Linked DNA regions of Schizosaccharomyces pombe. The protein of the gene in region 2 purifies or fractionates together with the protein of the main gene of each other region. This does not show direct contact. Each region holds a gene or a part of one and is shown on either strand. Other genes may lie near its edges. The genes, in order: gtb1, gfh1, alp4 and mod21.

Region 1 (8,353 bases), 1.1 Mb from region 2:
TAGCAGGACAAGCACTCGTGAAACCACTCAACCACCTTTCACCACGAATCCGTCCAATCGCTCAAAACGAACTACTTTACGATAGTTTTAGGGATTTGAAGTTTATTCTAAAATCGTTTGCATTAAAAAAGCTACACAAGTAATTGTAAACAGCTTTTTTACTCATATCATTTAAATTATATTGTTCATTCCACACTTTCAACTTTACTTTCAATACCCAATCTTTTTAATTACTAAGGCTCCTAAACTTATGAGAAAGTACTGAACTATCTTTATGTTAGAATTTGTTCAGGAAAATGCCTATATTTTAAAACCTATTTTGTTTTGAAACATTGACGTTAAGCGTTTATTTTATTTATTCTAAATTTTCTTTTTTGTATTGGAAAACCCCGAGGTTCTGCTAAATGACGGACACCGCGAAGTATGAGAAAAGCAGTGCTCGCTGCTGGATATGCTATGAGGAATACGACAAAAAACTATGCTCCCTTTCAAATGATTCTTGGAGACGTCCGTGTCGGTGTTCACTCATTGCTCATGAAAGTTGTTTGATTTCTTACATTACCAGATCTGGCAGTACTCGTTGTCCTCAATGTCTTACCGCATATAGAATTGCTAAACCGCCAAAGGAAAAGTCTTGGGCTGTAAACGTTCTTGGAATCGGTCATTCCCTTGAAGCTGGTCTAGCTCAAGTAACGTTTGGTGTAGGTTCTTGTTTAGGTATTACCAAGTTTATTTATTCAATATTCAAACAGACTGGAATATGGATATGTAAACAGGTGGCAGATGAAAGCAGCCTGATAGAAATGTTAAAAAAGCCAGTTTTCTCCTCTGTCGTATTGCCTTTATTACCATGCATGTTGGTTCGGTTCTACGAAGCTCCGCCTTATGATATAGCATTTAGTCTCTACACGCATTTTTCAATTTATAGTTGCGCGGAAAAGATTTCGAATACCTCACTTCTACTGTGCACTCTGCCTTGGGTAAGATCTTTATATAAGGAACTAATGACCCGTATATTTGACGGTATTGTAATTGGAGCGGACGGGGAATTTGAAGATTCTGAAACTGATTGGTTTCGCCAGTTTGAAGCACAAGTAGAGCATCGTAACCAAGTCGAGGATGTAAACGAAAGAGAAGATACAGAATCTGAATTTTGGATTCTTTTGTCTGTGGCACACGTTTTCCTTGATGCTTTTACTACGAAAATTCTCCGTATTGTTCGACCGATTCTACTATTCCCATTAGCAGGGAAATTTTTGGGAAGGTTTATTCCAGGGAATTTCACAAAGTTAGAGAAGAGCATTATTGGTGCCTTTGCTGCATTAGTTTTTAAGGACATTTTTGTCTATGGTTTCATTGCTTGGAGAAAGAGAAAACCCTGGAGCATTCGAATTCTCGACAATCCTCGTAGAGTTTCTGACTCATAAGCAAACAATGAAGTTGTCAAACTGTTAAGTTCCGGCAATATTTCTTTCACGCATTTACTTTTTAAAAATACTCATGAACTTAATTTAAGCCTTTTATTACGAGCAATATTCTAAAACCGTGTTATCGATTTATTCGAATCCAAAAATAAATATAAAGATGCTGATAGCATTAATAATTTTTATAACTTATAAAATTTCCAATCTGGAATTATTTTTCTTTTTTATGAAGCTTCCGTCTCCATCTCTTTATCTGTATCAGATGATTTTTTTGGCTGGGCGGCTGTCGACAGTATTTGGTCGTCCACCGTACTTTTTGATGGGGTTTCTGTGTTTAGGGAATGAAATGAGTCAGTTCTTCCTGATGAATTTTGATGTTGAGGGGTAGCTTGTGTCGAGACGGAAGCCAATGACGACGGTGTCCCAGGAGCTACGCTGGAAGCATGAGATCCGTTTTTTTGGTCGATTGGAAGGGCTTGTTTGGAAGGGTTTATCTTTTTGTATAACGAGTCGATTAGTGTCAACACTCCTGCATTGTTAGTGCTAAGGCTATAAAAAAATATATAATATACCTTTAACGTCTTCATAAGAAACTTGAGACTCTTCCATCCATACCGGAAGCCCATCAGTCGTAGTAGAGAGATTTATTTCGTTCTTTTCTAATGCAAATTGGAATGCTGCAGCAGCTATAGTTTTCGGAGAGTAAAGTAGACATGCGATACTTCTAGTGCTATCGTTAATGTATGTCCAAGCAACCTTAGTGACATTTTTATCATCAGCCACGAATTTTTTGATAAAACTTAGGACGTAAGGATATGGATGTTCAACCGTAAAGTCAAAGCATAAAGCTTCTAACAGTACTTCCTCTGTGTACAAGATAACATCTCTCCACCGCCAGTATTCTTTGGTTTGCTCGTCAACCAAAACATTGCTGTTTTTTTGAGCAACCTTTGCACAGTTAATTACAATATCGCGAAGTTTACGAACGGAATCCTCAACCTTGGTTGCCAAGAAAATGCAAGTAGCAGCAACTTCATAATAATGATAATTTTTGAGTGAGAATCGAAGATAAAATCGATGGAAATAGATGTTAGCAGTAGCAAGCGCAGTTTGAGGTCTGTTATTATTGTTAGTTTCATTAATTTACTGAACTGATACATCGTAATTAACGTACAGTTTTAATCTCAGCCCGACATTTATAATGAAATTGCATCCTTTAGATCTTTGAATTTCTTCTTGATCTAAAGGTATCCCATCTAATGCAGATGGAGTAAATACCAACTGATCTTTACTTATTATCCACTGAGAAGTGTTTTGAGAGCCCGGGGGTACAGATTTTATTACTTCACTCATGTGAAATTCATCGATTTTATATATGAGATTACCGTCGCCAAATTATTAAAAACAAACTATAATTGAGCAAGAATAAGCAAAATCAAAGAACAGTAAATCATTTAGTATATAATTAACATACCTCAACTAAAGAATGCGAAGAATGGAGGGTGGTTACTATCTTTCAGGGGGAAATCTACCACAACGATGCTTGTCCATTTACGTTGATTGAATATAGTGATTATTAGAATAATTCGTAAGTCAGTTTTAACGATTTTGACGGTCTCAACGATTGTTTAATTTTAAGTCTTTGTAAGATATTCAAAAAATCAACTGTATACTTATAAATCGTTCTGCTAATCTCTTATAAACAACTCTTTTTTAGGTTAAAGCCGATACCAAAGAGATGAAATGAACTTTTCCAAATGATTGATGTTACCTACTTCATCAACAATTGCCTAATTCTTGACAGTATATTGAATACGATGGATTAAAAGTGGTAATCATTTTGAAAGGGACCATTTATGCAATAATATCATCCTTTAATTGTAGTGAACATAAAATACTTAGTTACTATTTAGACTAGTACTTTTTTTAGAAGAGGACTTCGTTATCCATGAATTAAGAAGCTTGTTGCGCTTCAATAAGCTTATTCACTTTGGCTGTTCTTTTCCGTTTTATAAAGTGTTTCTTACACGAAATAACTACTTGTATGCATTCAATTTCTTGCTTATAAGTTTTTTGCTTGTCTTCACAATCGGTGGAACTTGAGCAAATTTTCAAGTACTTAAATAAGAATTGGCTGTTGAAGGTCAATTAATTAAGTGTTGGGTTTGCCTTGATTTCGATAAATACCATAAAACTTGTCTATATTATTTATTTTCTGTGTCAAATTTTAATGAGCCTTTCCTTCTCTATTTTTTTAATTACCAAGTCTATCATTTTCATTTAATTTTACAATGTCATCAGCGAAAGTAAGGTTCATACGAATATGCATGAGAACCTAAGCGTCAGTCACTAACCCCTTTGTTATAGTATGTAGTGGGCAGCAAACCAACGGAAAAGAGACCCAAGGATATAAAAAGCATTAAGTCTGTGCCGATATGTGAAAAACATAGGGCTAGTGTAGTAAAAGATATCTCTCGCAAGATCTCTCGAATTCAAAGTGGTACGTCCTAGATTGTTTTATTAGCAAATTTAATTAACTTGCTAAACTTGATTCCGCTTTTATCATTTCTGTGTATTCTAACCATGAATAGCAACGTTGCCTGAATATCAAATTCGAGATTTGAACGATGCAATTAATCGATTGATGCGTGAAAAACACGAATGGGAGGTACAAATTCGTGATCTGGGTGGGATTAATTATCTGTATAATAAAGCAAAGCTATTTGAGGATGAAGGAGAACAAATCAGTGATATAGACGATTATCGTTATTACGGAAGAGCTCGAGAGTTACCTGGCGTTAAGGAACTTTTTGAAGCTGATATGAGTTTTATACCGGAAAGACAGCGCAAACAGGAGATGCAGAAAAGAAGGTTAGACGCCTGGTACTTTGGTTACATACCGCCAGCACAAGAGAGTCTATTAGAAGATTTTGAGGCAAAGATTGAAGAACAACAACATAAACATCTTGAGAACCTTGGTGATGAAGTTGAACAAGATTGGAAACCTCTTGTCATTGAGCAAATACCAACTAGAGACGATGTTGAAGCCATTCTTTTAGAAAGGCGTAAAAATGCTTTGCTGAGCAGAATTTCATAGATTATGAAGTAGGACTAGGATAGGAGAATTAATTTTATATTTTAAGTCTGCTTTGACATCGTAAACTATGAAGGATTTTTTAAAGAGATAAATAATTGGGATCTTCACAAGCTTCGTATTCATTGATCAAGTCGGCAACGACGTCGCTGTCAAATACATTAGTAAATTAACTCAAAATATGAAATTATAAGACAAGATACTTACCGAGAAGAATCGAATTCGTTAAGATCATCTTCGAAAATAGCCTCCTTTTTATATTGCTCTAAAAAGGCATTTCGTTTCCGCAAACGATCATATTGATCTAGTGTTCTCTTGAATAACTACAAAGATTAGTATTAAATGTCTCAAAAAAAAATTTGCAGAAACATACAGAGGCAATACTAGTGTGATTTGCAAGCATAAGTCCACTAACACGGTGGTTCGTTTTTATATAGGGCGACTTTTTAGAAAGTGCAACTTGTATACTTGCTGGTCCCCAAGGAATGAATGAAGCGTATCGTCGTTCTCTTATGCGAAGCAAGGATTTGTGAACGTCCGCCGGATCTGCTTCTCCTTGAATGATATCCAAAATACTAATAAAGCAACTCTTTTTGCTAGGATTGACGGAAACCATCTGGTTTTTAGGCAACAACAACCTTCTCATCACATCAAGCACGGTAGTTTTCCGAATGGCCTTTGCTTCTTCCACTTGCTGATTGGTAAAAGGAGTGTATGAGGTTAGTAAAAAGTGACAGCGAGGACTTGGAATTAATGAAGCTATTATACTGACAAGATCGTTGTTCATGTAGCCAGGATATCTTAAAGTTGTTGTACTGGCAGACATAACAGTTGAAACCTAGAATAGTTAGTTGATGAAAAGACCTAATATAAATCAATTACCAATTGGTTTTGTTGATGAAACGTAGGGTTCTGAGTATGTAACCGATCAGCAGCAATATGAGCAAGTGCTGCATTGTCCAACACAACAACAGAATCAGCATTCAATGTCAGTCGCTTCAATGCAAGAAGACTGTTGTAAGGCTGAACCACAACATCTGATACGGATTGACTATTAGGGAATACTGAATAAGTTTGGATAATCTTCTTGGGATAACGATCGTTTAATCTCTCAAGCAAGAAAGAGCCCAGCCCAGAACCCGTTCCACCAGCGATAGAATGTAAAAGCGAGAAACCCTCTAGAGAATCACTTCCATCAGCTTCACGATCTATCATGTCCATTATATCTTCAAAAATCCTCTCAGCATGCGAATAACCATTAGCCCAATTATTGCCAGCACCTCCTCCATTTTTGGTAATAAGTATATTTTCGGGATTATAAAGGCTGCCGTAGGTGTCGCTTAGAATATTGTTGACCACCTAAGGTAAAGAGGACATTAGTCACTTGAATATTTCAGCAAATACTAATAAAAGGATGCGATAACATACTCTTGGTTCCAGATCAATCAAAATGGCTCTAGGAATGTATCTAGTATCATCAGACTAAAATGAGTTAACATGTTGAAACTTTAAAGTGTATCAATAAACCAACCTGGTAGAAAAAAACGTCTTTTCGATCAACACCCTCAGTTGCGAAACTTTCTAGCGTGCCATCAGGCCCAATGCCATGTTCCAAACACAACTGTTGCCAGAATTGTGAACCAACTAGACAAGTTTGTGAGTAATTAGAATTTCGATTTGATTAATAGTAGTATAGGTGAACATACTTTGATTACCACATTGACCAGCTTGTAACGTAATGATTTCTCTGCCCATGATTAAACAATGAAGGAGCAAACAATCTTTGATGTTTGCTTCTTACTTAAAAGTACAACCGCGAAAGATTTTTTGCTGAAATAGGTGGTTTTCAAAAGAAGGGTATCTTGAGGTATTTCGCTGTGCTTGGGTGAACTGTAGGTCGATAAGAGAAGGTTGGTAGTAAGAAAAGCAAACATTTTCCAGGTCAACTAGACTAGATTATTATAAATAATTACATATTTCTTGACTATAAATTTATCAACCTTGGAGCTGATTCGAGCATTGCTGCAAAATTCAATTAGGAATGACAATTTTTCTAACAGGAAATTAGAAAGCCAAAGTAAGTGAATTTAGAATGTGTCATAAAATTTAGTATTGATTACTATCGTATCTAAATATTTCTAAATCATTTAGTACATTATTTCGTAAAAAATATATGCAACTTTGAATGTAAATATTAAAATTGAAAGTAACACAATAGACACAATTTATGAGTGTTCGAATAAAAAAATAATAGTGATATAAAATTAGACAATTCATGTGGATACTCAAACACTGAAACAAATGATTTTCCAAAAACTAAAAGTATTTTTGAAGACAATTTTATCTTAATTAATACAGATTGTAGAAAATGAAAAATTAACAAATAATTATTTGGCAAAGGTCTAAATATTTTACAAATTAATAAATAAATAAATTAATTGAAAGTAAAAAAAAAAATTGAACATAAATTTTTACTGAAATTATAATTAAGCTCAATAAGGTAATACCACACAACAACAGTTTGATTTTAATATTTATTTAGCAGGTGTAACATTTTTTTTTATTAACAACAAAGTTGCGAGCTTGTAAAATTGGGTTTTAACTTAAACCAAGATTTATTAAAAAAAGAATGTAAAGAACGACGACATATTTACAATGTTTGGAATTTAAAACTTAATAATAGAAACCGAATATCAACATTTTCTATTTCAAAAAAATACTGAGCATTTCTTAATAGTTATGCATATATATATACCTTTTAGCAAATGATTCCAACTAGCTCTTGTAGCTCAGTGGTAGAGCGCTTGCCTAGTAAGCAAGAGGCCCAGTGTTCAAGTCACTGCTGGAGCATAATTTTGATCCTTTTTGCTTTTTGCCCTTCAAAGGGCAAAAAACAATACTTTTAAGATAATACATAAATAATCTATCACTGATACCTTTTTCTACATCCTACTAATTTATTTGTAGATTAAAGTAAAAAAGTAGTTATACGGTTCCTTGTTTTTGTCAAATAATTTGCCTGTGTCCTATATCTTGTTGCAGTGCATATTCTTTTGGATGGAAGAAATCCCACTCTTAAAGTTAGAAAAAGGTTTCGCTTCACTTTCAACTTTAAGATAAACAACATCGGCCATTGGCAATCTCGTCTACTATTATTTTAAACAAAAGGTAGCAAACCATTACTAGGTGTTGTAACTAACGCAAACTACTTAATCGTTTGCTGCTACAATCGCCCCATACAATGTTTAGATACCTATACTGTTTAAGTATGAGTCTCAGCCATTCTATGCATAACCTTTACAAATACGAAATTTGAAATATTTTTACTAAATAGCAGCAAAAATTTCTGTCATTTTGGTGGTATGTTGACAAAAGACAATGGCAGTATACTGCGACATATCCTTTTTTTAACTTTAAAAGCAGCAAACAAAGGAAAAAGAATGTGAGACTGATTAAATAAATAAGATTTCTTTTGATAAATGCGATCCGACTTTTCTTCCTTGGAATTTTTATTAATTTTACGTAAATTTCTCTTGTTAAAAGATCGTGTTGACCCAAACTAAGGTCTGATGTCATTATGAAATAAGGTCAGCTGGAAACATAAGTAGGACGGTCAGCCGCGCTACACCTTACTTTCAACCTACTCATTCTATTAGTATTGAGTTTTGTAAGTTAAAATGTCTCATTTCTACGACTTGGCTCCTAAGGACAAGGATGGAAATCCTTTTCCTTTCAGCAACTTGAAGGGTAAAGTGGTCCTTGTTGTCAATACAGCGAGCAAATGTGGATTCACTCCTCAATACAAAGGTCTTGAGGCGTTGTATCAGAAATACAA
Region 2 (7,531 bases):
TAATCATGCACTGCTACTAGAGAAGTCGAAATCCGAAGATCCTTAGATATTGGAATTCTACCTCTATAATAATATTCTGTTGATGGCTAATATTTATACCAATTTTACAAATTACATAATCAAATTTATTTCTTTTTAAAATTCTCTTCTATTAGTTGGCAATGCTCAAGTTTTGCCTTTTTTTCCTTAACACACATTTGAAGGGAGACGCTATCTTTTCTCGACAAACAAGCAGATGACTTCCCTAAGTAGATTTTCTTCTTTGAAATCAGCTTGGCCATCCGCAAGTTACGTTTGTTATGAAAAATACGAGTAAATATTAAATTAAAGATCTTAGTTTTTATCACTCGCGAATATATTCAGTAGCCAAACGATTAACTCTTTCCAATTTTTTCCAGTCTATTTATCGATTCCAATAGAACAAAACAAATGCTGAGATTTTATTAATACATATATTTGATACTAATTTATCAAGCTGCATTGAGACGAAAGCATCTTGGTAGTACTAGAATCATTGTTACTCACATACTGTTACCTGCTTCTTATAACCTCCAAATCAGCGAAATTCCGCGTCTTCATCATAGCCAAACTTATGCTCAATTGCCTCGTTTGTAAATTAAAATATATTTAACAATAAGAAGGACGATAAAGAGGGGATTCTTCTATACAATAAAATTGCTTTCATTTAAATTAGGTCATTGATGATTATTAGTTGTTGCTTTTAAAAATTTGATATATTCACGGACAATAGGATAGAACCATTTAAAACGGAAGCTAAGAATCTTTCCAAAAGTCCAAAATAATTTGATTTTATTGAAAATTACTCGAAAACTGCTGAATTTGCGAATTTGCCTTTATTGCAGCAAATTACCGTATTTGAATACTACACTAGCTTAAAATTATTGAGTTCTTTTTTAGTTTTGAAATAAAACTATAAAAAATCAAAATGTCGAGCCCAAGGCGCAGAATTGAGACGGACGTTATGAAGCTGCTGATGAGTGATTACGAGGTAACTCTTGTCAATGATAATATGCAAGAATTTTACGTTAGGTTCCATGGACCGTCTGAAACCCCTTACTCAGGTGGAATATGGAAAGTTCATGTTGAACTGCCAAGTGAGTATCCTTGGAAATCTCCAAGTATTGGATTTGTAAATCGTATATTTCATCCCAATATCGATGAGCTTAGTGGAAGTGTTTGCTTGGACGTGATAAATCAAACTTGGTCTCCAATGTTTGATATGATTAATATTTTTGAGGTTTTTCTTCCACAGCTACTCCGTTATCCTAATGCGTCGGACCCTCTAAATGGAGAGGCAGCAGCTCTATTATTGCGAGAGCCGAATACCTACTATGCCAAGGTTCGAGATTATATCGCTCGGTATGCTAATAAAGAAGACGCTGATATAACTTTGAACGACTCTTCAGATGATGACACCATGTCTTCTATTGACACTGAATCTGGCGATGAAATTGCTGGTCCAATGGACTCTGATTTTTAAATTTCGTTACGTTGCTTTGTTTGATATACATTGATTCTTTTTTGAATTCTCTTTATGGATACTGATTGTGGCATTCAATAAACCGATGGATAGCTAAATCTGTTACACTTTTTTTTCTATTGATGCATTGAATGATTCTTTTTGCATGCTGTCGCTTGCAAAACCCGTTTGAATTTGCTTTCAATCAGTAGTCGTGACAACGATATTTAATAGGTTTATTTTCTTGAAGCTTCAAGTTACTGCAGCATAATTTACGACTATAACTCCATGATGCATAGTTAATGAGAACTAATATTTAAATAAAATAGAAAAAAAATATTAAATAAATACATTGATCATATCTACCTATAAATTAAGCTGAACAATCAGCGCGTTAATTATTTCCCTATCATACGATGGATCATTTTCTTTCTGTCGTATGCATTCAATCGAATGAGATACGTGAGCAGCTAACTGACAGTCAACTTTCGAAACTTCTTGACTACGAAATAAAGAAAGCTCATGGTAAATCGAGTTTAAAGAAATGTGTAAATCATCATCGTAAAAAAACAACATTTTCTTAGCGTAAGTCAACGTTAAAGCATGCAATTGAGAACAGTCTTGCATACGTAACTTTTGTGTTCTATATAACTCAGTAAGAGATTCCCGTAATTTACAATATGACGGCTTTATAACACATTCGTAGGCATAATATTGTAAAGATGATAAGAACCATAAAGTCACCCACAATTGAGTCCATGGTTGAGAAATACCTTTGGCAGTATACTCCTTTCTTTCGTAAAAAAGGGATTTGATTTTAGTTATACTTAAGTGTAAAGAACCTAGTAGTATCCATAAATCGGAATACACATTTAAAGCATTTTTATCCATAAACAAATTGAACGGCCATTTTAAACACAATAACAGTTGCATATTGAGTCCCTCTACATCGATTTTACGATTCTCAGAGCGAATCATTTCATCTTCTTCATCAAAGATACTTACAAGTTTTAGAAAAGATACACATTCTCCATATTCAGTAGCGAGATCAAGTAAAGAAATAGTTTTCCTTAAAACAACGGGTAAAATATCATCAATTACTACCCCTTGAACGTCATTTGAACTGCAATATTCACCACGAACGTCTCTGAACATTTCAGATAATGTTGGAAGAAACTCAACATTTTCAAGTAACATCACCATCTCTAGCATTTTTACCAAATCGAAAATCTGATGAAACGAAGCTAATTGAAATATTATTTTTTCTGATACCAGAGTGAACATTTCATCTGCTAATTTTGTCACTGAAGATTTCGTTAAAGGCAAAGGCATTTCATATACCAGTCTGTAGAAACATCTAAGAATTTCACAGAAAGCGTCTGTGAAACATTTTTTTGCATTGAGCATACACGTTCGTATTGAAACTAAGCAATTAACGATGTCTTGGGTCAAAAAAGGGACATTATTGCTACAAGATACAAAATCTTTAGTATCACCGCATAAAAACGAACATTTGAAGCTGTCATCGCCGGAATCATTTACCAAATACTGCACTAATTCGTCAAGCCAAGTCTTCTGAAAAGCACATTCACACTCTAAAACCAGCTTTTTAAAATTCAAATGAGTAGAGCCCATATACATATTATGCAGCTTTTGAAACGTAGAAGCTACACTCAAGCATTGAGAAATATTACCTTGAAGTACTAGCAGACTAGATAAAGTTTCTTTCCAATCTGCTAAATGCGCTTCTAATTGCGCCAAGGATACGAATTTTCCGGAACCTACAAAATAAGGATCGCTGGATATAATCATCCGCTCTAAATTAGCTAGACTTTCATCATAAAGAAATAATTTTTTCGAAAGCAGAAGTCTAAGAGCTTTAAGAAGAAACTGGTTTTGCTGAATCAAATCTTCATCAAAAATTTCAATATATCGTTCTATCCTTTTCCTTTTACTTGCCAAAGATACTATGTCATTAATTAATTCTCGTTCACCAGGGTGTAATGGTTGAACAGATGGATGCAGTAGTATTTGACCATTTTTCTCAATAAACAGGCCAGAAGTATTCCCTGCGAGCAACAAAATAATCTCATGCAACATATAATGTATTTATTGTTACAGAGTTTGCATGAAAATATTCAACATATAGCCAATTTAAGTAAACTACTCCAAAGGAGGCTTTCGTAGTAAATGAGATAAATAGCTAAAACTTATTCGTGTTACTTTGAAGGTAACGACTAGGGAATGTCTTGCGTTGTTACAATGAACAATAATCAATGTAGCATTGCATATAATTCAATTAATATATATATATATATATATATATATATATTATTTTGTAATAACCTAGTAGGTACTGTTTATCTTAAACAAACAAAGTCTCAGACGAGCGAAGGTTTAACGACATTAATTTTGGGCAACAGGTAAACACAACACTTTAAAATTGATTAGAAGGGGGAGGTGGTCCACATGGCATGATCATTTTTTCTAATAGGTTTTTGCGAACTTGGACTCTCGGTTCGCCGAGCGCCGTTGCCATATATGCGAGCAACGGTGGATGCCCCACTACAGAAGACAAAGTATCCCGGTGCTGATTTACCATCCATTCACTAGTTTATATGGTGAGCGAAAATTCATTTGTCAAATAAACCGATTAGTACTTACTATTTGGTGGTAAACGCATTACCGACACCAACATAACGCGCTTGTAACTGTTCTAGTTTTGCTTGAGAGCGCAACCTGTCTGCCTACAATCGTTAATAAATGAAAGAAGCATAGAATAGAGATAATTCAAGAATTTTTTTCTTACCATAGTATATATTGGAATATGTGGTATAATGTTCAGACTGGGTTTTTTTAACACATATTGTTAATTGAAACGAATAAGGTATAATACTGTAATTTGCAATTCTAAATTGCGATTTCTAGCGCACCAAAGCAACCACAGAAATAAACGTTTCAAAATAAACATTGCTATCCTTTGACCAAAAACCTGTAGTTGCAGTTTTTTGATAATAGGGAGCACTACACTTGAAGATGTCTTCTCTTGCATCTCAGGGTAATAATGCTTCAACTCCTGCATATCGTTATGGGTTTCAAACTTCAGAAGTTGGGGACAGGCCAACTGTAAGTATGCCTTCACAACCTGAGTCGAGTGCTATGCTCGAGGATGATGGAATGGTGAAAAGGAAACCTTTTGCTGCTATAGGAGAAGCCATACCAAAGGTAATTGATACAACCGGAGAATCAGTACGTGAAGCCTTTGAAGAGTTTTTATTGTCATTTTCTGATGACCGCGTTGCTGGAGGTGATGCTCTCCCTTCTGCATCACAAGAGAAATATTATGTTCAACAGATTCATGGATTGGCAATGTATGAGATTCATACCGTTTACGTTGATTATAAGCATTTAACCTCGTACAATGATGTGTTAGCTCTTGCGATAGTTGAGCAATATTATCGATTTTCTCCTTTCTTACTTCGAGCTTTACAAAAGTTGATTGAAAAGTTTGAACCAGAATATTATAGAAGTTCTCTTTCTCGTGAAAATGCTTCACTTTCACCGAACTTTAAAGCCAGTGACAAAACATTTGCTCTTGCATTTTACAATTTACCCTTTCGATCCACAATTCGGGACTTACGAACAGATCGTATCGGTAGACTCACGACTATTACAGGTACAGTTACTCGTACTTCTGAAGTACGCCCTGAATTAGCACAAGGTACTTTTATCTGTGAGGAATGCCACACTGTAGTTTCAAATGTTGAGCAAGCATTTCGCTATACTGAACCAACTCAATGCCCTAATGAACTTTGTGCTAATAAAAGAAGTTGGCGGCTCAATATTTCACAGTCTTCTTTTCAGGACTGGCAAAAGGTGCGCATTCAAGAAAATAGCAACGAGATTCCTACGGGTTCTATGCCACGAACTTTGGACGTAATTTTGCGCGGAGATATTGTTGAAAGGGCTAAGGCTGGTGACAAATGCGCATTTACGGGAATTCTTATTGCCGTTCCAGATGTCTCACAGCTAGGAATTCCTGGTGTAAAGCCAGAAGCTTATCGAGATTCTCGCAATTTTGGTGGTAGAGATGCAGATGGTGTGACAGGACTGAAGTCTTTAGGTGTACGTGATCTTACATATAAACTATCTTTTTTAGCTTGCATGGTTCAACCAGATGATGCAAATGATAAAAGCGGTGCGGATGTCAGAGGGGATGGTTCTCAAGGGATCGAAGAGCAAGATGAATTTTTGCAATCGCTTTCTCAAGAAGAAATTGATGATTTACGTGCGATGGTGCATTCAGATCATATTTATTCTCGTTTGACAAACTCACTGGCTCCCTCTGTTTATGGTCATGAAATAATTAAGAAGGGGATTCTTTTACAGTTAATGGGTGGTGTTCACAAGTTAACTCCTGAAGGTATAAATCTTCGTGGCGACCTGAACATTTGTATTGTCGGCGACCCCAGTACTTCGAAATCACAATTTCTTAAATACGTTTGCAATTTTCTTCCTCGTGCAATCTACACTTCTGGAAAGGCATCATCTGCGGCCGGTCTCACAGCTGCAGTTGTTAAGGACGAAGAAACTGGGGATTTTACTATAGAAGCAGGCGCTTTAATGTTGGCTGACAATGGAATATGTGCTATAGATGAATTCGATAAAATGGATCTGTCAGACCAAGTTGCTATTCATGAAGCAATGGAACAACAAACGATATCTATAGCAAAAGCTGGAATTCAAGCTACATTAAACGCACGGACATCTATCCTTGCTGCTGCAAATCCAATAGGTGGCCGCTATAACCGAAAAACAACTTTGCGGAATAACATCAATATGTCTGCTCCTATCATGTCACGGTTTGATTTATTCTTCGTTGTACTAGATGAGTGCAATGAATCAGTTGATAGACATTTAGCTAAGCATATTGTTGACATTCATCGTTTACGGGATGATGCCATGCAACCTGAATTTAGTACTGAGCAACTTCAACGATATATCAGATATGCAAGGACTTTCAAACCAAAGTTAAATACAGAATCTTGTGCCGAAATTGTTAAAAAGTACAAGCAATTGCGGATGGATGACGCGCAAGGTGCTGGTAAAAATTCATATCGTATTACCGTGCGACAACTGGAGTCAATGATTCGTCTATCAGAAGCCATTGCAAGAGCAAACTGTGTAGATGATATTACTCCTGCATTTGTCAACGAAGCATACTCTTTATTACGTCAATCAATTATCCATGTGGAAAGAGATGATATTGAGGTTGAAGAAGATGATGCAGAGGCCCAAGAACTTGAGAATGATAATACTAATACAACAAATGGCAATGATAATGTTTCTTCGGAAGAAGCTTTGCAGAAACCAAAAGTAAAAATTACTTACGACAAATATGTTTCGATTATGAACGGAATATTACAGGTTTTACGCCAGCGCTCTACTGAAGGTGTAGATGGAGTACCAGCGGGAGACCTAGTTCAGTCATATCTCGAGCTTAGGGAAGACCAATTCCATACCGAGGAAGACATCATCTATGAGGTTGGTCTTGTGCGTAAGGTATTAACCAGGCTTGTTCACGAATCGATCATCATGGAAATTCAAAATTTAACTGACAGCGCCGTGAGGCTTCCTTTTGAAGAACGCGTATTTTCAATACACCCTAACTGTGACATTGATGCTCTACTGAGCAATGGCGATGTTCCGAACTAAGGTTATAAAAGATTCGTAACGATCTCTTATAAGTTTTATCAGTGAGGCGTATTTTTGAAACAGACCTGACATTAATTGTTGAAGCACTACTTTAATTCACGAAATTGGTGTATTTTTTTTTTCCTCACTGCATACCGTAGAAACCCTGATTTGTTATTTTAATCTTTACACTCTTTTTTTGTACTTTTATTCACTAAATTTGATAATACTATTGGATCCTACCGAAAAATATATACTCATTTTCCTGATCTAGACATTTATCAGATTAATCTATGTTTATTTCAAACATATAACCCAGGTAAATTAGTATAGTGATACGTTAAGCAATGTTAATAT
Region 3 (8,631 bases), 1.4 Mb from region 2:
TTTCACATGCAATAGTTCTAGTAGCGATGCAGCTATTCATTGCAAGCGACTATTCCTACAATGTAAACAGTGTAAACATTGTAGAGAGTCGCTGCTCAAAATCTTAGAAACGGCTAATACTCTTTTCTACTCTTGCTTTTTTGTTGATTTCTTTTCTATTGTTTTCTTTACTTTACTTTCTCTACTTTGCTTGTCATTGCTAGGTCTAGTCTTGTCGGGCGAAACAACCCAACAAGAGTAAATTTTCAGATGGTGACGTTGAAGACTGAGATCCTCGACATCAAGATTTGGGTGTGATAAACGAACGGACCCTTAGATGGATAGCGTATTCACACCCTAAACCCGAAACATAGGGTAGCGTTTTTAAGGCTGCCGAAAGGCGAGTCTACTATGGCCCCTACGGTGGATAAGATGGATAGTGAGTAAATCCAAAGGGTATTTGTCAAGCAAAAAAATAAATAAATAAAGCAATCAATAGGTGGTGTTGCATTCGCTAGTTTGCTTCATTTATTAATTATTACATTCATTAGTTTTTTATGTTCGTTAGATATTAAAAGATCATCAAACTCATCCTTCCTCTTATAACGTCTCTTTTTCTTTTTTGTTTACTCTTCACACTCTTGCATACTTTCATAATTTTTCCAACAAAACTTATCTTGTCAAAGCTCACCAAATTTTATCTACGAAATAATCTTTCTCTCTCTCTCTTCATTATCAGTTAGCTACATTCCATTTTCCTTCTGTCTCCCTACTTTCTCCCACCCCGATCATCCACCTATCCATCATCCTTCATCTACTACTGCTTACTATCCGTAATCTATAAGAAGTGTTGGCACTCACTAATCCTCTGAATTTACGGATACTGCTCTTGAACTCGTTATCGCTATGTTTCGAACGGCGACTCTCTTCCTAAACACTTTCTAGCAGGTGGTTTCGCGATCCCAATTGCTAAAACACTTTATTTCATTTTCCGTCCCCTGCTGCCAAGGAGAATTTCGGATCTAAATCGACGAGGAAGAAGAGGACGGTATTGCAAAATTTGAGAGATATTTACGTTTGTATGAAGTTTGAAGAAAAAAAAAAAAAAAAAGAGGATGAAAATTTTTCTAACATACAATCTTTCATCAAATCCTTAAACTTGTTTTAGTAGTACGCTTACTAGAAATCCTTTTTTAAATTTTTTTTTATTAATTACCTAGTATTTAGCTTTTTTTGTTTTGCTATTTTGGTTCTCATATTTTTTATCTTTAGTTCTATTTCTATTCTATTTGTTCTCTTCTATCCTTTCTCATCATTAGTCAGATAAAATAAAAATCTCTCAATTCAAATATTTCGATTTCAATACATTCGGCTTAAAATGTTTCATTCGGTTCGAAATGCTCTTTTATATTCCGTTCCTTGTTATCTTCCCCTTTATTTCATCTTAACTTACTTATCGTGTCCATTTGTAATCTGTAAAGTATATTTGCTAGTTTCTAATTATTTCTTTCTCCCTCTCTCTGTTTCTCTTGTTTCCTCTTACATGGTGGGGGATTGATAATTTTGGGCAATCCACTGTGAGATAAGTTTTCGTTTTTCTTACTCCTTGATGCGATAATTCTAAAGTCATATGATTCCTTTGCCTCACACCCAGCTATCGCCCCCATACTTAATCATACAATCTGTACTCACTTTTCATAGTAACTCTATCCTTTCGTAATAACCATCCTACACTAATCTAAATTGACGTTTTCCTTCGATATTACAATTTTTGTATGCGCTTTACTAGCTTACCTGTTCCTTTGTTTACGCATCCATTAAACTTTTAACTGCAAAATACAATTACTAGAAATTCATTACGAGTGCACACAAATGAATAGTTTTGCGTATACAATACTATAACCACCTAAATTAAACCTTGGTTTGGTTTTTATATACATACATCATCATCATTACTGTCGTAGCAACTGTACTTCTTCACATAACAAAGTTCATTACTATAGCTGTCTATGGTACAAACGTTAGCATACATTGTATCACTTCAAAATCAATCGATAGCTCTTTAGACTAGGAACAAATGCTTAGCCTCTCTCTTCGTTCTTCCTCAATCACGCGGCATACTGCCGACTTGCCTTAAATTTAGCGACATAGCTAATAAAAAATTAGCGATCAAAAATCCAAGTTACCATTCCTCAGGCATTATCAGCAAACCCTGTTTCAGACATTTTAAAAAATCGATTATTTTTTATATAACACAAGTGTTGGCATATTAAACGCTCGCCATGCCTTTCTCCATAATCATTCTTAAATTCATGGCCAATGGCAGTCGTCTTTTTGTCAATTTTTAACCGAATAGTGCAGTACGCTTTTAGTGTGACAACTGGCCAAAAAAAAGTCCAAACTACTGAAAATGGACCAATGTATACTGCGGATAAGCAATGCTTGTTTATGAAGATAATTGGCCATTCCGCAAGATCCTCACTCCAAGTCATTTCTTTATTAACGAGTACAAGCAACAAGATGTCAAAGATAAGGTTATCCAAAAACCGACTATATAAATATCCATAAAAGTTTTTCTCCCAATTTCCATTGCTGTTTGTCAGATGTTTCTTCATATCTCAATAAAACAATAGTAACGTTGTTCCATTTGTAGTTTTTCTACCTTGCCTTGTTTTATCTTGTCTCTTCTTAGTTATCCCGTCAATTTCATTACTAAACTTAAAAGAGCCGCCGTCTCAGTACTTGCAAAGTAGTTACAAGCATTCACTAAGGATTTTAAATGACGACTAAAACTGTCTTCGTACCGGCGTAAAATTTCTTCCATCTTATCCATTCTTCCTTCATCAAAGCTTTCTTCGGAATTCTCAAGCAAATATAAGGATCGGGTAAACGTGGAAGTATAAGAGGCAAACATAGCACAAGTATTAAGTAATTTAGATTGTACTTTAAGTAATCGCGAGTTAGTAAGCATGCATTCTTTTAGACACGTATCCAAAAAATCGATATGCTCCTGCATTAAATTATCCACAGTTCGGGCGTTCTCAAGTTCTCCCATAAATTTCCCCCAATGTGTTTCAATCACCTCACTTGTAGTATAGTAGATTATTTTTTGAACAAAACTAAGCATTCGTGTCCTTAATAACCAGCTGTTCCTTTTCCATTGTTCGATTTTCGCATTGGAGGAATTGAGACGCCAAGCACTATTCTTGCTGTGCTGCACCCAACTATTCTCAAGTTGCATTTCAACGTGACGAAGTAAAAGAAAATATCTGAACAAAAGTTGATATCGAATAATAGCTTTGCGGGATAAAATAAGTGAAAGGGGAAATGGAACTTTATAGCATAGTTGCATCGTTTCAAATCCATTAATATCTTTATCGCTACCAACTTTTGAAGTCCCCTGTGTGCTCCGATTGTGTTCACTCTCAAAATTTCGAGTTTCATTGCCCACATCCGCTTGCTTCGTGATTGATTCATTCCAAACTTCGTTTCCCTGAGATGATGTTCCTTCTTCCAAACCACTGATACTTACAATATGCATGAGCCAGTCTATTAATGATGTTTGATTCACTTCTACAGTCACGTATTCTTTATGTGGATCAGTCGCAGTTATCGTACCAGGCTGACGAAGGGCTAAATCTAATTGCGACTGCAACTTCGTGATAGATATATACTTTGCAGGTTTTCGTAGCTCGTGTTGAGCATTGTCAAGAAATGTTGTAAAAAAGTCAGATTGATCAAGGAAAAAATAATGTTTGAGCGAGTACAGATGAGCGTAAAGAGACTGTGAAGACTGGAGTAATTGCAAGAGAGATTCATTTGCATAAACATAGGCATTCATGATATTTAAAGTAAAGTTATCATCATCGAAGGTTGAAGGCCAGAGCAACTGGTTTTGAGTATCGTCTTTTGCATTTAACGAAGCCAGGTTATTAACTCCCTTCCTACACTCTAAAACGACGTTCAAATACTTGCCTGCAAAGAGTACCTTGTTTTGTAAATCAAGCAATTGTGGAGGAACTTGATCCTCTCGAATCACGTATCGTTTTTCCCAATATTCATCTGTGTAGTCTTCATCAAGTTGCATAGATGTGATTCCTTTGTGTATTTTTATCATAAATTCATCATATGGGTCATTTACGAGCCCGAGATGGATCCACTCATTCAACATTTTTGTATAAGGGCGTGAAGCTTCGCGCAATAAATAGGTTAGGATTTTTCGTGCCACAGGATCACCCGCATATTTCGTAAGACTTTCGGTCAAAAAAGAAATGACTTGCCCACCTTTACAAACCTTTTTCTTAGACCTAGTGGCATTAACAACATGTGAAATGTCATTTCCTTCATTAAGTTGCTCTAAAAGATCGTCGATGTTACTAAGACCTAAATCATCGCTGCTGGAAGCATTCTTTTCCATAGACAAAAGCAGGTCACGTAGAATTAAATACACTTGTCGTAATGAACGCGATGTGGGAAGAGTATAAAGGCGAAGAGTTTGAAGAGAAAAATTTGGATCAATTCGGCTCTGATTTTCACACTGCATGATAAGTACCACGTAGTCCATCACAAACTTTCGCAAAGCAGCGCACAATGCGTGGTTAACAAATCCGTATTCAAAATGGCTTCTCGATTCTATAAAAGCTGTGATACTTAAATAATGAGACCCCATCTCTAACATCTCAGAAGCAATATCCTTTATACCTAAATCAAATCCAGGAAGAATATAAAACGATGGCGGCATAATAATGGTTTCAAACTCAGAGGATGCTTTCATGTCTTGGAGATGTACAAATACACCCTCCATGCCCATAAATGCATTTAAGAGTTCGTTTATGAGACATGCTTCCTGCTGATGGATATTTAAGTTCGAAGGATCGCTAAAAGTCTTCCCATCGTAAAGATAATTTAATTGAATCCTATCAGAAAATGGAGAAACACCTTCACTCTTCAAAGAGACATGATAAACGCTCCCTTCCTCGAGAGCTGGAATTGGACTCCCATTCTCGCTTTCTTCTTTAGCAAGCACCGAACTAATCGATCTCACCATTTAAAGAGTCTTTTTTTATATAATCTACAAAAGTGTGAACATTTATTTAATATTTAGTGCTCTTTGTAATTATTATTCGGATATGCTTGTTTACCAGCAGGCCAGTTTTAAGATGTAGGTTGGTAAGTATGCGCCAGCTAACAATCAACGCAATTTCAAAGCAAACCAACTCAGGTCCGTGTAGCATTAAAAAATGCAAAAAAGTATAAAAAAAATTAGTCAAAAAATACATAACTAGAAGACTGCAGCATTTTCTATTGTAAGACTACCGTAAACTCAAAGGACCCCAAATACTCATTCGAGTATATATGGATAGCAGTAGACAGTGACAAATTCTATATGCTAGAGTTTATTTTGAATGGATAAAAATTTTAGATCCTAAGCTTGAGGGATTTATTCCCTTCATCTTTTTTTTTTTTTTTTTTTTTTTTTTTTTGTTGTGTTTAAATTTTTTATTCTAATGCAGACTACTTCGCTTTATTTACTAGCCAGTAGGTAATATTTGCATAATAAAAGCAATAAATTTAGCTCGGTTTTATGTTAATTATACATTTACTTGTTATTTCTTTAACAAAATAAATTTTTTCAAAAATACATATAAGCATCAATGATTTATTTACAGATAAAATGCTTTTCTAGGGAAGCAAGGATTTTGTAGTCGCATGAAGCTGGTGGTGAAATCACAAACATTACATCTATCAAAGTGTATATTGGTTGTAAAATCTCGAGTTCATCTTTTAAAAAAATAAATACAAAAAAAAAATTTATTGGTAAATGCACATACATTAAATTACTACCTCAATGCTTTATGAACATGAAAAATCCATACACCTAATCACAGGCATTCATCTGCTATACACTTATTCCGACGACCTCTTTGTTACTATATAATATTATGATTAGGAATTTTTTAGCGATATATCAATAAAATGGTTTAGCGAGATATACAAGCACTTTTCACTTTTAGCTTAAGCTTCATTGTGGCTTTTGCTCGTTTTACATCATGTCAGGTTACAGGAGGTAACGACCTGCATTGATACCTTGAGCATGTAGGAAACTGAATATCCAACAAAGAAAGAGCATAATAGCTACAGTCTTGAGCCCACCCCTTTAATATCAAATTATAACGTGTAAAATGGTATGAATAACTTTTTTAATTAATCAAAAGCATTCTTTTGTATGAAAATACTAATTATGATTCATAGACTGGTGTTCATGAAGGGACTGTGTTGGTTACTGGCGGCGCTGGTTATATAGGTTCTCATACGGTACGTAGAGAGCTTGAAGATACAGAAGAGGATTAGTAATGTACATGTAAATGTTTTAAGCACGCATCTTTTGTGAATATAGCTTGCTGCTCTTTACTTTTATACAATTTCGTCCATATTCTATAAAGCTCTTTTTTGAGATATTTTGCTAACCACAATCTGCAATAGTGCGTTGTTTTGTTAGAAAAAGGATATGATGTTGTAATTGTCGATAATTTATGCAATTCTCGCGTTGAAGCCGTGCACCGCATTGAAAAACTCACTGGGAAAAAAGTCATATTCCACCAGGTGGATTTGCTTGATGAGCCAGCTTTGGACAAGGTCTTCGCAAATCAAAACATATCTGCTGTCATTCATTTTGCTGGTCTCAAAGCAGTTGGTGAATCTGTACAGGTTCCTTTGAGTTATTACAAAAATAACATTTCCGGTACCATTAATTTAATAGAGTGCATGAAGAAGTATAATGTACGTGACTTCGTCTTTTCTTCATCTGCTACCGTGTATGGCGATCCTACTAGACCTGGTGGTACCATTCCTATTCCAGAGTCATGCCCTCGTGAAGGTACAAGCCCATATGGTCGCACAAAGCTTTTCATTGAAAATATCATTGAGGATGAGACCAAGGTGAACAAATCGCTTAATGCAGCTTTATTACGCTATTTTAATCCCGGAGGTGCTCATCCCTCTGGTGAACTCGGTGAAGATCCTCTTGGCATCCCTAATAACTTGCTTCCTTATATCGCGCAAGTTGCTGTAGGAAGATTGGATCATTTGAATGTATTTGGCGACGATTATCCCACATCTGACGGTACTCCAATTCGTGACTACATTCACGTATGCGATTTGGCAGAGGCTCATGTTGCTGCTCTCGATTACCTGCGCCAACATTTTGTTAGTTGCCGCCCTTGGAATTTGGGATCAGGAACTGGTAGTACTGTTTTTCAGGTGCTCAATGCGTTTTCGAAAGCTGTTGGAAGAGATCTTCCTTATAAGGTCACCCCTAGAAGAGCAGGGGACGTTGTTAACCTAACCGCCAACCCCACTCGCGCTAACGAGGAGTTAAAATGGAAAACCAGTCGTAGCATTTATGAAATTTGCGTTGACACTTGGAGATGGCAACAGAAGTATCCCTATGGCTTTGACCTGACCCATACCAAGACATATAAGTAAACCATACTCTTCCTTTTCGGATTAAGTGGGTTTTAAATAATTTCCTTCTCTTTCTTGATTCAAATTTGCATAATATGTTTTAGGACTTATGGATTCAAAGACATTATAATGTATTGTTTGATGAACCCTTTTCCCTTTCCTGTACCTTAATTGTTTATTGTAAGTGCGCTCGAGCTATCGATTAGGTCGCTAATAATACCGGTTTGCGAATAACTTATGTTTTAAAAGGGATTTAACAATGAAGCTTATTTCAAAACAATCACTTTCGGTTTACATTTTTATTTCTTTCTTTTGCATACGCATTTTCGTCAAGTTGACATTTTTTCTAATATTGAAGTTTCTTTATATTTCACCTTTTAATTGTATTTTTTTATTCAAAGGTTCTACTTTGTCAATCATTTTCAATTCCTATTTCGATATAGCTTAGATTTTACAATAATACTTGTTATAATACTGTCTATAACTTTTACGTTAGCCGAAGATTAGAAGTCAAGCACCGTATTGAAATCAAAATTATTAATAATGAGTAAGTGAATATATACCAAGGTTGAATGTTTTTTAACTTTTTAAATAGACAGTTATGAGATTTGCACTTCATGACATGCTAGATTAGCGTTTTTTTTCAAATGAATTTAAATTATTCGCAGCTGTTCAATGAATGTAATCGTATAATTAAATCTTAAATCTTTAAACAGCTGTGTGTTTGATTGAATCCACATTCGTCCTCATGTACTCATAGCTAGGTGAAATATATTAGGCTTTCAGTGATTCGGGATTCCAAACTACACTTAATACCCCCAACATCAAAAATTACGAAAATACGATTAAGCAAATAATATTTAAGTGGATATAATGACCAGCAAAATGGAAAATAATAAAGATGAAAGCATTTCTACCAAAAATGCGTTAGAAGAAAAATCGAACGAAACAAAAGACGAAACTTCAAAGCGAAAGCACGATCCGGCAGAAGAAGAATCAGCGGTTTCCACTAAAGTCTCGAAGAGTGAACCGCTGGAAGATAAAGGGAATGCTGAAGTTAAGGAATTTAAAGAGACTACGAAGAGCAATGGCGTAAAACCGGAGGTTGAGATTACTGAGTCTACTAAAATCCAAAAGGAATCAAACACGGAGCCATGTATCTCAACTGGAGGTAAGGTAGAAGAAAAA
Region 4 (7,823 bases), on a different chromosome or scaffold from region 2:
ATAAGCTGGTGCAAGGCCTTCTTTTTTGTAGTGGTCATTAACCGGAGAAAAGTAACCAGCAACTAATTCCATATTAGTCTGCTCCTGAATAGTATCTGTAGCCATTTCAAACATTCGCAAGTGTAGATAGGTAATAGGAGAGAAAGAACCGCAAGCGACTAATACCAAAGGGATTTTTCCTTCATCAACTAAATGATTCCGAAAGCGATGTTTTGGAAATATATACTCATTTAGTTGTCGGGCTTGTCTAGTGATTCCACGCGGTACTTCTTCAAGATCCATCACCTCTCCTAAACTAGCAACGTCAGCTTCACGCTTCTCTAAACTCACGCTGGGGCCTCCAGAGGTAGAGTTCTTTTGCCATGCACGATTGACGCTGGGCCTACGAATACGCTCTTCGTGCTCTTTGGCAGCATGTTCATTCAACCAGTCTTCATCTGGACTAAATTCGTCTGAATATTGAATAACGTTACTGGACGAAGAATTACGAGACAACAGGGGATTCTTCGGAAATGAATTTGCAAAATTATCCCCATTCATGGTGTGCATATTAAAAAGGAATTATGACGAGGAATGGTAGACAATCACAATCGGGTCAATAAAGAAACAGAATCGGTAATAATAATACAAAAATCGATCAAAACCGCGTATAATAAGAAAACCCTCTTTTTCCAAATAATGACAGACAACAAGCGAACAAATAGGATCAAAAATTTAAAGGCTGCGGGAGAAAGAGGATACTAAATTCTAAAGAAAAATGAATAGCAAAGTAGGATATGGGAAACGAAGGAAAAAAATTAAAATTACCCTTTAGGTATGGAAAAACGATAATGTATAACCAGCGTCTAAATTTGGTTGGAATTACTTGTGATTTCTTAGTGCAACTCTCGAATAACAGTTGTAGAAAAAGAATGAAGGATAACCTATAAAAAGAATTGAAATAAAAAAGAAAAGAAAAGAGGAAATTTGACGACGAATCGCAAAAGAAACGTTTCCCGATCTAAGCACTTTTATGTCCTCAAAGTTGGCTCAAAACTGATATTCAGTGCCTCTTGTCACTAATATCAATAATAAATATTAAAGGTAAACCTTTTTGAAAGGAAAACGGTTCTTTTTAACAACCTACAGCTTAAACTGATATTTTTTGCGTTTTTGGTGGTATAATGGTTATGCGTACAATGGTGACTTAATGTGCAGATAAACAGCGCTCGAAAAGAATGTAAATAAAAAGTGATGATACTACAACTGAATTGTTAAGAAAAACAACTTATCCCTCGTCCGTTTATGAGTAAAATTGTGAGACGGCTGTCATGCTCATTAGATAGACATATAATGATTTAAGCTTATCTAAATCCCGGATTTTCGAGTATATGCCATTACGAATATACATAAATTCGCAAACAAGGATAAAACTCTAGGAATAATCATAAAAGCCTTATTCGTATATCAAGACAATGTTAACAATTATATGTATAGGGATAACTAATATATGTACGGAAAAAACCGTTTGCATGAAGTGATGTAGATGTACTTGGAATTGTATCTATTATCAACTGGTTGATAATCAAATTTTGCAGGTATCCCAATACTAAGTTGGTATCAATTACAAGTTCTTCTAACTTTTATTAGTGGTTTCATTCGTTACATGGTCCTAAAACAGTAAGAAGTTGGCGATTGGGATAATAACAAATCCATTATATAGTATACAATAAGCCTTACAATCTTTTGATTTGTGGAGAGTTTTTACGTATGTAAAAAAACAAAACTGGCTTACCGTCTACGGGTACGCTTTGAATGCTTTGTAATGTGTTTGTAAATATGCATTTTTTGTAAACAATAATTTACGACCATTAAGATATCTGAGGCTTGGTGCTCTAAAAATATAAGAAGGTGTACTATAACGATTCTTATCATTTTTTATTATTTACATCTGTTTCCGCTTTGTTTATGCAATCATATTGTGAGTGTTATTTGTCCTTGCTCCGTAATCCTTTATATGGGATAGTAGACGGGACAGCTCCCATCTACTCAACCACCTCATATCACCGAGTATAAGCATTTTTGATATGTCGACAGAACAAACTTTTATCGCTGTGAAACCGGACGCAGTTCAGCGAGGACTGATTGGATACATCATCTCAAAATTTGAGTTGAAGGGCTACAAACTACGTGCTCTAAAATTTTTAGTTCCTAGTCGTGATCTTGTGGAAGAACATTATGCCGAACATAAAGGAAAGCCTTTTTATGAGAAACTCGTTGGTTTCATGGCATCAGGCCCTGTATGTGCCATGATATGGGAAGGTAAACAAGCCGTGAAAACTGGTCGCTTAATGTTGGGCGCCAGTAACCCTCTGGATTCTGCCCCTGGCACTATTCGCGGTGATTATGGTATCGACCTTGGTAGAAACGTTTGCCATGGTTCTGATTCCATAGAAAGCGCTAATCGTGAAATTAAACTTTGGTTCCAGCCTTCGGAAATCCAAGTTTACGATCGTACAATTGAACCTTGGATTTACGAATGAATAAGAAGAAGTTAAAGAGCCTCTTCAAAAGGACTCGTGTTTGTTATGGGTGATGCAAACTATCAGCAACACCCAAAGCAAATAAATATGACTAATGATTTTCTACCTTCATTAAAGCACACTATCATTTTTTTTAATAGATATAGGTCTTTTTCAAATATCATTCGTTAGTAAACGACATGAAACTAGAGAAATCGCATGTAAGTCAGTATGGTTTTACTCATCCAAAAGGTTACTTTTATGAAATCTATTGATTCTATACACGTAATGGTAAATATTATGGCATTTTATCGTAATCATGGCATTATAAGGAATAATAAGTCAGCCAAATTTCGTCTACATCGATAGGCAGAACTACCAATGGGAACAGAAGGATGTATGAGATTGTCCGCTAGTTTCGCTATTATATTACAGGTTTGGTCCAACGTAAATAACGGATCATTTTTAATTCCTGAAACGGTCGAAATTTGATATGTATTTTCCATGACATCTGGTAGCTCTTGCTTTTGACAATTGAGCAGCTCTTCATTTAAGAGCTTCTTTATGTCATCAACAAAAAATTCAGATAAACATTTCTGCTTTTGCTTTAAAATAAGTTTCTCTTTTTCCCCTATTACAGATTCATCATCAACATCATTATTAAGCGTTTCAAAAACGCCGTTGAATATAGAATTTTCATCAACTTCAGTAAAAGATTGATATAGTGTTAGGAAAAAATTATGACAGGTGTTGACGAATACATAATGCCCATAATAGAAACGACTAAATCTTTTTGACCATAACGACTTTTTAGCTTCTTCTTGTTGTTTTATTAAATTTTCAAACTCCCCCATTAAACTTTGAAAGTCAAAAGATAAATCCAAAGATTTACCAAGCTTTAAAATTTTGCTTCTAATTAATATTTCCATTTCCACAAGTAAATTGTTTAGAGTTGGAGATTGGTCAAAAACAATACTACCCAATTGGAGAGCAATATTGTCTTTCTCAAGGAAATTGTTAGGAAAATCCTTACAAAGGATTAAAATGTTATATAGAGGCCTGGCTATAGTCATAGAACTGGTAATTTGTGAGGCTTGATTAACCATCCACAATAACATTGCAATAGCAGAAGCTTTATAGAGCTTGAACATTTGTGAAGAGTAATTCCTTGTTGAATATATGAACTCCAATGTTTTAACAAAATCCCACATATTCGTTGCTGATTTTTCGTAAGCGAAACGAAAGCACAATAGTGGATCAACGAATTTTTTTACATGTTGAAAAAATTGAAAAAGAGTACAGTTCTTTGTAGCGTTATAAACTTCTGTTTCGAGTTTAATAAGCTCTTGGTGTGTGTTTTTTAAACAACTTAAGAGATGTGGTTTTATTTGAGGATAAATGAAGACAACAGAGAGAAACGGCTCATTCTTGGTACTTTGGTCATCACTTTTAAAAAACGAATCGCTAGGAGATGTTAGTTTTTGTCGAAAAAATTCCAAGTTAGAACCGTAATCGGCAAGTTCTGTCATTATACTGCGAAGAATCTCTTCGCTCATGTGATGAAGCTTTGGTAATAAAGAAAGTCGTGTTTCAATTTTTGAACCATTTTTTAAGAAGAAAAAACTTGGATAACCTATCAACATATATATAGAGTCGCGAATAATACTTCTTTCAGATATTCGGACAGTTTCGTTCAAACTAGAATCCCAAAACATAAAGGGTTTTATCTGTAAAAAATCTAAATTCGGTTGCTTGCTTTTTTTAAATAAAGTACATAGCTTATTGTTAGACGCGTTGTCAGACTCCTCGATGATAGGGATGTGGATGTTGGCTGGTATCGTAATTTCATTAGCATTTCCATTGAAAGTTTCTTCCTCAGAGTCTTCTGTTATGGTTTCATCATCAGGCATTGAAGACCAGTCAGGCATCAACCAGTGGTCTCCTTCACAACTAGTTAATAACTGGATTATAGCTTCTTGTTCATTCTTGTTGCAATCTTTGTAGACGGGAATTTGTGGGACATGTATATCTGAGGGTGGTTTAGATAATTCAAGGAAAAGTTTTAATATTTGGGCATGCAATATACTTTGCTTGACACTAACGGTTTGACGATTGAGAACTTCACAAGCGTTTCGTAAAGGCATTTCTAAATCTTCCCGACCTTGTATACCCATTTTGTCACAGATGCTAGATCAAGTTAGTCTTAACATTCCAACAACAATCGGCAGATCTGCTTTACGTTACCCTTTTATATGTTCTATCATTTCATGAAATACCAATGTCGAACTAGGGACATTTTGAATGATTTTCTTTGAATGTTTTAACCATTCACTAGCAACTAATGAATCATTATGTATTAGTTCCCTTAAGAGATGCTGTAGGATTTGATCCGCACGAGACATTGTCATTTACAGTTCTTGATAAAACATTTATTAAGCTTTGCCTGTATTCTCATATGTTCTTTATTATGTGCTGATATTGCTAAAATGCCGATTAAGGAGTGTATATTTCGTATACTATCGCGAATGAAGGAAAATTTTTGTTTGACATGAGAGAAATGAGTTGAGTCAATTTATGACTGAAGGGGGTTAATCATTATTTGCCGTTAAGCTGTGTAAGTCATTTATAATAGTAATAAAAAAAAAACTAATATATTTTGTTTTAAACGTATTTACTGTTATTAGATTAACCGGCGCCGCTCCCTAACTGAAATAGTAAGAAAACTTCAAAATAAATAATGAATTCCGTATGCTCACTTGCAATGACTACAAGTTATACAGAGAAATTTACCAACCTTACACAACTGTAGTACTGTTATTAGAACGTATATTTTCTTACTAATTTATACCCATTTTTCATAAGTTGTGCATTAGTATTACCATGGTTTTTTAATATAAAATATTAAACAAATGGACTTTTAATCTTTGGAAAAAAAGATTCAGAACATTATATTGAAGAAAAGATTTTGGCTCTGATTTTTTTAATTATATTATCACACCATCAAGTTTGACCTTAAGATACCACGAAGTTAACAAATCTATACTTAGTAGAGGTTTAGCTAAAAAGTTTAGAACATGTAAAGACGTCGATAAATCTTGATTAAGGAATGGGAAAAAGGATTCACTGGATAAAAGGTAGTAATCGAATATAGACAAGGATGTAAAGCTAACGGACAATTAAGTACTTTCAAAATTCACAAAATCGTCGCCCGTAAGTCACTCCAACTATTAATTGGTAATTCTAAATGCAACGTTAAGCAGAACAAAGAAAAAAAAGGCACTTGTAGACTTTAGGGCTCAATATCAAGTTATAAGTAAGAGCAAAATCGGGTAATTAAAAACCATAAGAGGTACCACGAAAACATTATTTTTCATTGTTTAAACCTGAAGAAATAGGATACAGATTAGTAACTATATTATTGCATTTAACCTCGGCAATAGAAGCGTTACTTTTTGAGAGACGCTTTAAGTCCGCATTTTTAGAAGATTCTGATGAGTTACCTTTTGTTGCAGCTGCAGCCTTAGCTTTCATTTTGAGAGCAGCATTTTTCTTGTAAGTGTTATGGTAAAAGACGATAAACAAAACAAGGTATGAAGAGATTGTTGCGAGACCACAGAACGCCGCTAAAGGATGTCCTGAGCAATGGCCCATACAGGCTTTGTAAAACTTCAACCGATACGCAACCTCCGTGTATACTGCGAAATAAATAAAACCTAAATCAGCAAAGAACTGAACGATCTGAAAGCGGGTGACCCATTTCTTCCAAGGAACCCGAATACCTTTGGCTACAAGATAGTAGTAATAATACATAGTAACATGAACCAATAAATTGATTTCAATGATCAACCAACTGATGGAAGTTCTGCCAACAATTTGAGTATATACAAGAACGGCAGTGGCACCATGATGGTAGCAATGAAGGAATTGAAGGGGTTTTTTGCGGAGGACAAGGAAAAAAGTATCTGTCAATTCAAGCTAAAACGTATGTTAGAATGAAAAAAGTATGGTCAAAAAACGATGGAGACGTACGAATTTTGAAATATAAGCACAGTAGTATAAAAATACCAGCGGTTGAGTCCATGCTTTCTCATTGCAGATAGAAAAGAAAAAACCGTGCTTGTAAATAGCAGGGGCTACTTGTTCAAAAATCAAAAGTGCAAGGATAGCTGAAGCGATGGAAAAAGTCAAATTATAATATTGGAAAATCTTTTGAAGACGGATAGGTTGCCTATTACGCATAATTCTACCTCCGACAAGAATTAAAAGATAGTAAGATATGATGATGGTTGCAACGACCGGGGCGGACGAAAAGCGGGTTTTGTTTACGATAAATTCAAAGGAAGATGGCCGCTTTCCGAATGTGGCATCTGCCAGGGAATTTAACCATGACCTAAAAATTGTTAGTAAAAATCAACATGAAAGCCTCTCAATCGCATTAAAACTAGTGAAATTTCTATTGTTCTTTCAGACGCTTGCTTTCATGTTTGGTAGTACTTAACGACTACACACAAAAGTAACACATGATGTGCCTCAAAAAAAGACACACCCCAGAGATGAACATTCCACAATCAATCAGTAATACCAGCAATCCAACATCAGCTAAAAAGTCACAGAGTTTAACTTGAGATGAAAAAGTTTTGGATGAAAAAAATTTCAGTAAACCTAACGAAATTTTCACCCTTGTTGATTCCACCTACTCTGCCGAGTCTATCGGGCCGTCAGCGAAAATGATTGGCTAAGAGCTCGCTTTACGAACCGTTAAGCATCCACATGGTGGAGATCTTAATAAACAACGGAATGATAAAAAACAACAACGAAAACTAGAAATACCGATCCGCTTTTTATCAATTGAATATCTAACAGAGGATGCTGAACGGAACGATATAGCGAGCGACAGTGTAACAACGGTAAGCAAAGAAAGGACGACAACAAAGACCGGTATGCTGGTAGGAGAGTGTCAAAAACAAAGAAAACTCAAAACAGAAAGTGGCTGGTCTACAGTCAAAATTTCAGAAAATTCAAAATAAACAGCGCCGGAAGTAGAAAGGCATTGAACAAGGATAAACGAAAAATATATACTGATTGATTTGTGTGGAAAAAAAGCAAGCATCTTCTAGAAGAGAAATTCACGTACGCATCACTATGTAGGCACATTAGTGAGCAAAGCTATGGCAAACATGGAAAACAGTTAAATAGCTTAGCGGAGGCATAATATCGACAAACTCACCAGATGGGATACTGAAATTGTCCTACCGAAACAGATGCCATGCCTTGATGATTATTGTTAGAGGTTAGAGACCCGTTCTCAAGCCCAATAATATG

Evidence for each region.
Region 1: the proteins of gfh1 (region 2) and gtb1 purify together in Schizosaccharomyces pombe (affinity purification with western blotting, with the first as the bait; one study listed by BioGRID). This does not show direct contact.
Region 3: the proteins of gfh1 (region 2) and alp4 purify together in Schizosaccharomyces pombe (affinity purification with western blotting; 3 studies listed by BioGRID, with this or other methods). This does not show direct contact.
Region 4: the proteins of gfh1 (region 2) and mod21 purify together in Schizosaccharomyces pombe (affinity purification with western blotting, with the first as the bait; one study listed by BioGRID). This does not show direct contact.

What each region holds. Positions count from the first base shown.
Region 1 is NC_003423.3:2,789,390-2,797,742, reverse strand, and holds gtb1 (gamma-tubulin Gtb1), read right to left. Parts: upstream 6,393-8,353; 5' UTR 6,274-6,392; coding exon 6,225-6,273; exon of another isoform or gene 6,163-6,224; coding exon 6,050-6,162; exon of another isoform or gene 6,001-6,049; coding exon 5,947-6,000; exon of another isoform or gene 5,878-5,946; coding exon 5,401-5,877; exon of another isoform or gene 5,357-5,400; coding exon 4,892-5,356; intron 4,842-4,891; coding exon 4,726-4,841; intron 4,668-4,725; coding exon 4,601-4,667; 3' UTR 4,522-4,600; coding exon of another isoform or gene 4,016-4,521; 3' UTR 3,925-4,015; coding exon of another isoform or gene 3,792-3,924; 3' UTR 3,731-3,791; coding exon of another isoform or gene 3,716-3,730; 3' UTR 3,559-3,715; downstream 1-3,558. Other genes in the region: SPOM_SPBC32F12.07C (MARCH family ubiquitin-protein ligase E3), read left to right, coding at 405-1,427; P-TEFB-associated cyclin T Pch1, read right to left, coding at 1,649-1,953, 1,997-2,541, 2,599-2,777; protein Cwf12, read left to right, coding at 3,716-3,730, 3,792-3,924, 4,016-4,521; H2O2 scavenger glutathione peroxidase Gpx1, read left to right, coding at 8,196-8,353. UniProt on the Schizosaccharomyces pombe protein: Tubulin is the major constituent of microtubules. The gamma chain is found at microtubule organizing centers (MTOC) such as the spindle poles or the centrosome, suggesting that it is involved in the minus-end nucleation of microtubule assembly.
Region 2 is NC_003423.3:3,879,982-3,887,512, reverse strand, and holds gfh1 (gamma tubulin complex GCP4 subunit Gfh1), read right to left. Parts: upstream 3,664-7,531; 5' UTR 3,581-3,663; coding exon 1,847-3,580; 3' UTR 1,786-1,846; downstream 1-1,785. Other genes in the region: exosome complex component mtr3, read left to right, coding at 1-46; ubiquitin conjugating enzyme Ubc8, read left to right, coding at 947-1,501; sap10 (splicing factor 3B), read right to left, coding at 3,918-4,089, 4,145-4,227, 4,290-4,292; MCM complex subunit Mcm6, read left to right, coding at 4,517-7,195. UniProt on the Schizosaccharomyces pombe protein: Required for proper anchoring of astral microtubules at the spindle pole bodies (SPBs), during anaphase, ensuring correct cell polarity.
Region 3 is NC_003423.3:2,520,456-2,529,086, reverse strand, and holds alp4 (gamma tubulin complex GCP2 subunit Alp4), read right to left. Parts: upstream 5,027-8,631; coding exon 2,672-5,026; 3' UTR 1,953-2,671; downstream 1-1,952. Other genes in the region: UDP-glucose 4-epimerase Uge1, read left to right, coding at 6,162-6,164, 6,232-6,294, 6,463-7,464; Ran GTPase-binding protein Hba1, read left to right, coding at 8,317-8,631. UniProt on the Schizosaccharomyces pombe protein: Component of the gamma tubule complex that is required for the regulation of both interphase microtubules and mitotic bipolar spindles.
Region 4 is NC_003424.3:245,862-253,684, forward strand, and holds mod21 (gamma tubulin complex GCP5 subunit Mod21), read right to left. Parts: upstream 5,066-7,823; 5' UTR 4,910-5,065; coding exon 4,746-4,909; exon of another isoform or gene 4,689-4,745; coding exon 2,819-4,688; 3' UTR 2,718-2,818; downstream 1-2,717. Other genes in the region: SPOM_SPAC806.06C (nicotinamide mononucleotide adenylyltransferase), read right to left, coding at 1-549; nucleoside diphosphate kinase Ndk1, read left to right, coding at 2,067-2,522; fatty acid elongase Elo1, read right to left, coding at 5,865-6,476, 6,531-6,891, 7,729-7,823. UniProt on the Schizosaccharomyces pombe protein: Component of the gamma-tubulin complex that is required for the regulation of both interphase microtubule organization and nucleation, and mitotic bipolar spindles. Required for correct septation.